Caenorhabditis elegans: one gene and its partner. The protein of the gene in region 1 purifies or fractionates together with the protein of each later gene. This does not show direct contact. Each region holds a gene or a part of one and is shown on either strand. Other genes may lie near its edges.

The links.
Region 2: the proteins of cct-2 (region 1) and mrpl-10 fractionate together in Caenorhabditis elegans (co-fractionation; one large-scale study listed by BioGRID). This does not show direct contact.

The regions. Positions count from the first base shown.
Region 1 is NC_003280.10:8,925,921-8,930,502, reverse strand, and holds cct-2 (T-complex protein 1 subunit beta), read right to left. Parts: upstream 2,763-4,582; 5' UTR 2,759-2,762; coding exon 2,630-2,758; intron 2,585-2,629; coding exon 2,467-2,584; intron 2,409-2,466; coding exon 1,239-2,408; intron 1,193-1,238; coding exon 1,020-1,192; 3' UTR 688-1,019; downstream 1-687. Other genes in the region: mrpl-50 (Large ribosomal subunit protein mL50), read right to left, coding at 1-64, 118-650; B0457.2 (Glycine-rich protein), read left to right, coding at 3,956-4,013, 4,132-4,212, 4,473-4,582. UniProt on the Caenorhabditis elegans protein: Molecular chaperone; assists the folding of proteins upon ATP hydrolysis. Known to play a role, in vitro, in the folding of actin and tubulin.
Region 2 is NC_003280.10:8,276,860-8,280,277, forward strand, and holds mrpl-10 (Large ribosomal subunit protein uL10m), read right to left. Parts: upstream 1,657-3,418; 5' UTR 1,656-1,656; coding exon 1,567-1,655; intron 1,524-1,566; coding exon 1,418-1,523; intron 1,367-1,417; coding exon 1,174-1,366; intron 1,128-1,173; coding exon 796-1,127; 3' UTR 668-795; downstream 1-667. Other genes in the region: slc-25A32 (Mitochondrial folate transporter/carrier), read left to right, coding at 30-246, 290-565; clec-142 (C-type lectin domain-containing protein), read left to right, coding at 1,827-1,884, 1,926-1,981, 2,029-2,143, 2,572-2,767, 2,817-3,041, 3,087-3,418.

The DNA of each region.
Region 1 (4,582 bases):
ATGGAAACGTGCAGCATGCTCCATAATCGAGACGTTTTTCGGTTTGTTCTCATCGCGAGCCATTCTATAATTTATTTTAATTAATAATTCAATAAGCATCTTTAAACAAAAACTAACTCTGTATATTTTGTTACATTTTTGACAGGCGTCTGATAAAATTCGACGACGTCTGCCACTGTTTCCAAATGAAGAAGTTTTCCATTGGTTGGCCAATGTTCGATGGATTTTCCCAGCCTGTTCAACAACTCGAACTTTACAGAGTTATCTCCTTCCACAAATTTGTACTGATCCACGTTTTCAGACTTTACTCCAGCACTTCTTAGACATGATGACGCTGCTTCAAGTACTTGGTTTTTGACATCAACGCCGGGAACATAGTTTTGCGTGTATTTGAGAAAACCTCTGGCCCGGATGGCATCCGTGTCGATACGGCTCATCGTCAACAGATCATCGTCAAATTCAGTGACAGAATCAGCTGAAGCAGTAACTTGTGTGGATTCTCTAGCACGGATGCTGGGAAGCGTCTTGCGAAGGCTCTCCTGTTCTTCCAGTGTCAGCTGCTTTACTGCTTCCTTTTCCCCGGATTTTCCAAACATTCCTTTCAACAAGTTACCTTGCGATCGGACAAGCCTCGGAAAACTCCTGTGCATCTTTTGGCAGTTCTAAATTTTTTCTTTTAAGCTTTTTCTTTTCTCTTTAATCAGAAATATAAAAAATCAGATAAAAACTGGAATAAAATACATTTCAAATATTGTACCTTTTGTAAATCGCACTCCATTCATTTTAAAAGGAAAACAAATCAACAAGCAAAAACACGCGGTATTCTCGAATATTAAATTGAAAACGGGGGCATATAAAAACGGTAGGCAGAAGCAACAGAAAGTGTATCAAATTCCATCAAAAATAAGAATGAAGGGGACGAAAAAAAACGAGATACGATTGTGTTGAAGCACTCGATTAAAAGCTGAAAAAGGGAGAATAAAGTTGAAGATCTTTTAACAGTCTGGCGAACAATTTGATTAGCATGGTCGGTTATCTTGAGCACGGGCACGTGGAGCTGCCTTGATGATATCGTCGACGCGAAGAATTTGTTCCGTGGCTTCAGCGGCGGAAGAAACCATGCACAACTTCACATTGTAAGACTCAATAACGCCCAATTTCGTAACATCAGCAACCTCTCCTTTCTCGATGTCTGAAAGATAATTTTGTATAATGGTTAGATTTCCAAATGAACAAACCGATTCCCATATTGTGACGTCCATTGGCGTGCTCTGCACGGAGTCTTGTGACAAGTTCAGCCGAGTCAAGTCCAGCATTGTCGCAAATGATGGTTGGCAATTGAGCAAGGGCTCTTCCGAAGGCTTCAACGGCAAGGGCTTCCTTACCCGCAACCTTTTGAGCTTCGACGGCGATGGCTGAACTCATCAAAATTTCGCTCGCTCCAGCTCCGGCAACAGTCTTTGATTCTTTCACGTGAGTAACGAGAACACAAAGGGCATCATGGAGGGATCTTTCGGACTCATCAAGAATCTGCTGAGTTGCTCCACGAAGAACGACTGAGCAAGCTTCACCCAATTTGACTCCCGAGAACCGAAGAAGTCTATCTTCTCCAATCATAATCTCTTCAATCAGATCACAAGATCCGAATTGAGCAGTTTGTGGTGAATCAAATGTGGAAACAATTTCTCCTCCGAGAACAAGAGCAAGCCTCTCGATTCCTTCAAAATCGGCGTGTTCAATAGCCATAACCTTAGCATCGGCAAAAAGTTGCTCTGGGTAGTTGTAGATCAACTGACGGTTGATGAAGACATTACAGTTATGGGCCAGAATTTTGTCAACTTTTTCTTTCATCTTCAATTTCTCAGCAGCTTCGAGTTCAGCAACCTTGGCAACACCATCTACTCTCACTCTTGATCCGAAAACTTTCACTTTGTCAGTGTCCATTGGTGTGTTGGCAATGAGAATCTTTGCTTTCTCAACTCTTCTTGGTTGGAACATTCCAGGGAGTTTTTCGAGAAGGAAACCCTCGTCGAGATAAGATTCATTCATGGATCCTCCGAGCTTCTTGATAATTTGAATGGCATCCAAATTTCCAGATCCCTTGAGTCTCAAAACTGCATCAACGGCGAGTTGAGCAAAGTGCTCTTTGTGTTGACTGAGAATCTTAGATCCAAGAGTAGTACGGGCAATCTTCAAAAGATCATCACGAATATTATCTCCGGATTCAATGCTGGACTTTTTCAAGGATTCTTGAGCAATCCCGAGAGCACGTCTATATCCAGAAATGATCGTCTGTGGATGAATACGTTGATTGACAAGTTTCTCGGCTTCTTTGAGGAGCTCTGCGGCCAGGACAGTTACTGAAGTAGTACCATCTCCAACTTCGTGATCCTGTGTCATTGACATATCTGAAAGATGCAAAACGTTTGTAAAAGTAAAAACAAAATTCAGTGAATGAGCACTTACCAACAAGAACCTTAGCAGCTGGATTGTCAACACCGATTGACTTCAGGATCGTTGCTCCATCGTTGGTAACTTTGATTCCTCCTGCGCTTTCTGGGTTTCCACTGATGAGAATTTTGTCCTAAAATTAATATTTAATTTTGATTAACAATCAAAACGCTCTTACCATTCCCTTTGGTCCAAGAGTAGACTTGACAAGATCTCCGATGGCGATTGCACCCACGAATGAGCTGAGACGAGCGCTCTCTCCTCGTTCCTCTTGAGCATTGTCCTTTAAAATTTGGACTGGAAGCATCTTGCTGAAATACGAAACATGAAAAAAAAACCCAGAAAGTTTGAATGTACAATTAATCCAAGAACGTCTAAAATAAACATTTGTGTGAATGATAGATTTAAAAAACGCCTAATTCAATGGCCTATAGTGCATGAGGAAGGTGAGTTTTATGATTTCACAAAGAAATATAAAATTGGAAAATTTTTAACATTGTAAAACGGTAATCAAAATGTGAAAACGAATTGAAATCTCCAGAAATTCATAGAAAACTGAGGGAAAATCCTTCTCGAAACTCAAAATATTTAAATGTCCAATGGGGCGCGTCTGCTGAACGGCCAGCGAATTTCTCGGCCACCAGTTAGAATAATATTTTTAATGGTCTGCACCCGTCTAAAATTAAACTCGTGTGTTTGGAATGGTTCGAACTCTCATTGAAATTATGAAACTTAGTAATTTTTATGTTGTTCCCTTACGAAGAAAAACTCTGTAATTTTGCGAAGTTTGAGTGGGTCTCGCCACGATCTCAGTCATGTTGGTCGCTACAGGTGCCAAATTTTACAGATCTGTTCAATTCTTGTAGAAAATGAATTATATAAAATTTCAAATTCTAAAGTGCTCAGAGAAAGCCAGGGTTTATCATAAAACATTTAGCTCCTATGTCAAATTTCCACGAACGGTCGATATCAGTTCAGAAACCATAGTCTATCGCAAGATTTTATGGTTTGATAACTTTTAGGATTTCTTATCGAATACAACAGTAAACACAGGCACGTGTAGTAGACAGGCTTCTCCGTTCCAGCTTGAGCCCATTAACACTGCTCTGGAAATCTTGGAAACTACGGCTTCTGATGGTTTGACTATAGTTTCTCTATGAAAATTGCACTTTGCTGAAGTCTGCTTTTGAAGTTGGTCATGGATTTCATTATGTCCTTCAGGAAAAAAATTATGACAGTGGTAACCGTTTCTTTTTTTTCTTGGTCTCGTAGTTTTTGTAGACAAGACCTTTTTCTAAAAAAAAGTTACACATCGAGAAAAGGCTGACAATATGGTCACATACACACACACACATACAGACACTGACTTCTTCATCACAAAACAATGATAAGTTAGAAGAGAACATTGAAGAAATGGAGACGCTAAACGCATACCTTTAGTTGGACCGCATCTCTCGCGCAACAGTTTCTTTATTCTTCAACATTCAATCATTTTTTAACAACAATGCGGTCAATACCGCTTTGTCAGCTGTTACTTCTATTAACTATATTATCAATTGATGGTTAGTGGATCCAGAAATGTATCAGCCTACGTGGAAGAACTTGTTCATTGTATTTCGTAGTTGACCACAAACCAATTCACAAAGTCAATACCACAGTCTCGAAACCATTGATTTTCAGCTCGACCTTCTGATCATTTTCTTTCTTTCTCAAAAACCGAATTGTGTGCTGCAGAACCACATCTTAAAGTGTGTCAGCCGAGTAAGTTCAAATTAGGAATTTCCTGTTCAAAACCGCTTTTTATCCGAATGAACAATACGAATGTGATAATGAAATGTGACGTAATTGAAACAACGGAAACGAATTTGTAGCCTCTGCAATCTATGATAGTTATTGCAAATTAGAAAAGCTGGATTTGTAGCTTAATTGAATACAATTTCTATTTCAAACCTAGAATAAATACAATGTTAACAAATCTTTTTGGCTTTCTGCATTGGAATATTATTGTTAATTTTATTCAGATAGCCGTGCTCAAAGCTCTAAAATCATAAATGGAGATGGCCTAACTGCCGAAAGATTAGAGCAACTTTCAAAACATTCCAATAAAGGATTTATTGAAGAAGAAGCTAAT
Region 2 (3,418 bases), 650 kb from region 1:
CAAATTAAATGTTCTGAATAGGATTTCAGACTATGCCTTCAGTATGAAAATCAACAGTCTAAAAAGTATGCAGGAATGATGGATTGCTTGAAGAAAACCGTTAAACAGGAGGGATTTTTTGGATTGTATCGAGGTTTCGTCACGGGTGTCATAGGAACAACACACGGAGCAGTTCAAATCGCAGCATATAGCTGGATAATTGATAAAAGATGTCAATCACAAGGGTTACCTAAAGATTCATTTTTGGTAAGTTTCAGAGAGAATCCAAGATTAGTTTATTTTATTTCAGAGTCAGACGGATTATGTTATCGCTTCTTCAACTTCCAAGGTTCTTGCCACAACAATCACATTCCCGTATCAAGTTCTTCGTACTAGAATGCAGGATCATAATACAGATTCTCGTGGAGTTTGGAAAACAACACTAAAAACAATACATAACGAGGGAATCGGTGGACTTTGGAAAGGATGTCTTATTGCAAATGTTCGGCAACTTCCAGCTGCTGTGGTCACATTCCTCACGTATGAAAATGTTAAGCGTTTGGTCGGAATGACGAAACAAATTTAGCTATTTATTTGTGAAGTTTAGTTTAACAATATAATTTTTCAAATAATCTTGTTGCAATAGTACTTTCTAGTTTTAGATTAGATGTAGTGTGTACAATAAGTATATTGTTTGTTGTTTTTATTCGGGTATTTGTTTAAATGTATTTTCTTTTTATAGCTTTCATGGATTTATGGTAATAAAAAATTCAATAACAAATCTACACTAGCTTTTCTGTTAAAAAAACGAAATTATTATTTTTTTGCTTCCTGGTTTGTGGAGATATGAGAATCCAAAAGTGATGGGAGATGACGTGTAACTGTATCCAGAGAAATTGTGACTTGCGCGACTTGTTGTCCAAGAAGCTGTACTGTATGTGCTCGAAGATCTTCAAGTGAAGAAAGTTTTGCTAGTTCGCGAGCATCCACCATATCCACAATTCTACCATCGGCCATCATTACAAGTGGTTCGATCCAATTAAGTTTATCGGTTTCTTGAAGAATTGATTTGATAGCAGAAATATCTTTGGCTAGAAGGATGGCGTTATTTCCAACAAGAACTGTGTTCAGGGATGACATCGGAGTTTCTGAATTTTAAGAAGTTATTATCAAAGTCACCCAAAATTAGCTTACTATCAAAAATCTTTTTCAGAATCTTATTTCCGTAACTTCTGAACTCGATATTCTTTGATCGCAATTGATTTTTTGCAAACCACAGAGTCCTTCCAGGAACTGGTAAGAATTGGCATACAGCCATCACACGAAACTCTTCCCTTACCATCCAATCACGAACCAAATTCGACAAGGCTAGCTCTACGTCGGAATACTGAAAATTTTGGGTCTTAAAAAAACTGTTCTAAACGCTAAAACACAAAACCTCTTTCGACTTTCCCGTATGTTCTCTCTTAATAAGTCCCGGTGGAATACACATGTTCACAGTTGGTGGGAGCTCCGGTTTTAACGCAGCTTCAAATAAACGGCGTCTAAAAATAACATTTTTGAGAATACTCTGTCATGAATGCTAACTTGAAATGTCGTGGAGTTGGACGTGGATACTTCGAAGAAACTGATCGCACTTGTACATTGACTAGTGGTCTTAACGACTGGTTTAACATCCTGAAAATATTAAACATATTAGAATTTCAGACAAACGAATTTCAAAAAGTAAAGATAAATTAATTTTTTGGGATTATTCACGTGAAGTTACTAAAGAGACGGGTATACATGTATTCAACAAATACATTTTATTGTGTTTCTTAATCAATTCAGTCCCAATTATTCAAGGAATGAATATACGAAATCTTATCTTTTTATCAGTCTTGACACATTTCACCGCTGCTTTCTGTAGGTTCTTTCTTCTCTAATTTTATATTTATTTATTTCAGTATGCACAGAAGATTGGGAACTGCTGAATGTTAAAAGTGGCCCAGTTTGTTGGGCGGTAAGAATCCTCAAATTTTTCAATTCTTAACAATGTATTATTTTAAGCTACTCGATGTCCCAAATTTTGACTCCAAATTTAGCTTAGCATCTAAAGTTTGCGAATCAGCGGGAGCCGACGTGGCTACCATTCACAATTGGGCGGAAAGATCAGTTTTTACAGGTAAAAATAATATAATGTATATTTTGTTTTCCACTTCCACGATTTTTAAGAGGGCGCAGTTACGCCGAATGGTCTCGACACGCGCGGCGAATTAATTAAAACACATGTGGTGTGCACCTTTAAGATTACTGTATTAATTTTTCTGGCAAATATTCTTCGATTTTTCTTATAACTCATACAAAAAACTATTATTACGCGTAGTAAGCATGAATTGAATACATAAAATTCATTTTAAAATGCAGAAAATTGGGAATGAAAAGAGAAAAATCGATGCCAGCAAAATTAATACTGTAAACACGAAATTCGTTCAATTGATTCGCCGCGCGTGTCGAGACCATTCCGTGTCGAGACCATATGCGCCCCTTTAAAATTATAGAAATGGAACAATATTAGATGTGAAACTAAATTTTAAAATCAAAACTCTTCAGACTTAACAAATCGTGTGACGGAACCAACATTAACATGCTACAAATCATCCCAATTTTCTATTGAAGGACAGTTTAAAACTATAGATTATGAAAAACCACCGGAATATTTGCGAATTCTCAATGAAAAAGGAAAAATACGACTAAGTAAAGGAATTAAACGGGGGGATCGAATCTCAATCAACTTTGCATTCAAAGCGTAAGACAGTTTTCTCTGGCACAAGATTCATCAATATTATTTGTTTCAGAAGAACAAATTTGAATGGCGTGAATGAGTTAACGGGAGAGATTAGAATTGGGAAAAATAGTTCTCATTACTCAATTAACATCAAGTGCACATTACAAAATTCCTCACCAACAAAATTATGCGAGTTGTCTCATCCGAACTTCAAGCGCCGTCATGCAGTTCAATTTTTAAAAGAAGGAATGGAGAATCATTTAACTGTTAAATACTTTGGTAGAGTTAATCTTGAGTAAGTAATTTTTAAGCTCGAAAAAAATAAGTATGATATTTCCAGCTTTCATGGAAATCGTATTAATTTATGGGACACAGAGTTTATACTTCCTACCGAGTATTCTTATGTTGGTATGGACGAAATATCAATTGAGAACTTCATTGTAAACCGTGTGGAGCACTCGAATAATTGTCAAGGAATGGACGAATATGAATTTGACAGACAGAGTATTTCAGTGGGAACTTTACCAAGTATCTTATTGAAAGACGAAAATATTCCTGTTCCTCGACGAACTCTCAACACTAGCACCTACGTGATTCCTGAATATCGACTGGACTACTACGATTTTGAAGGGAGTAATTCGTTTTTGTATGATATTCGTCTTTCTCAAGATC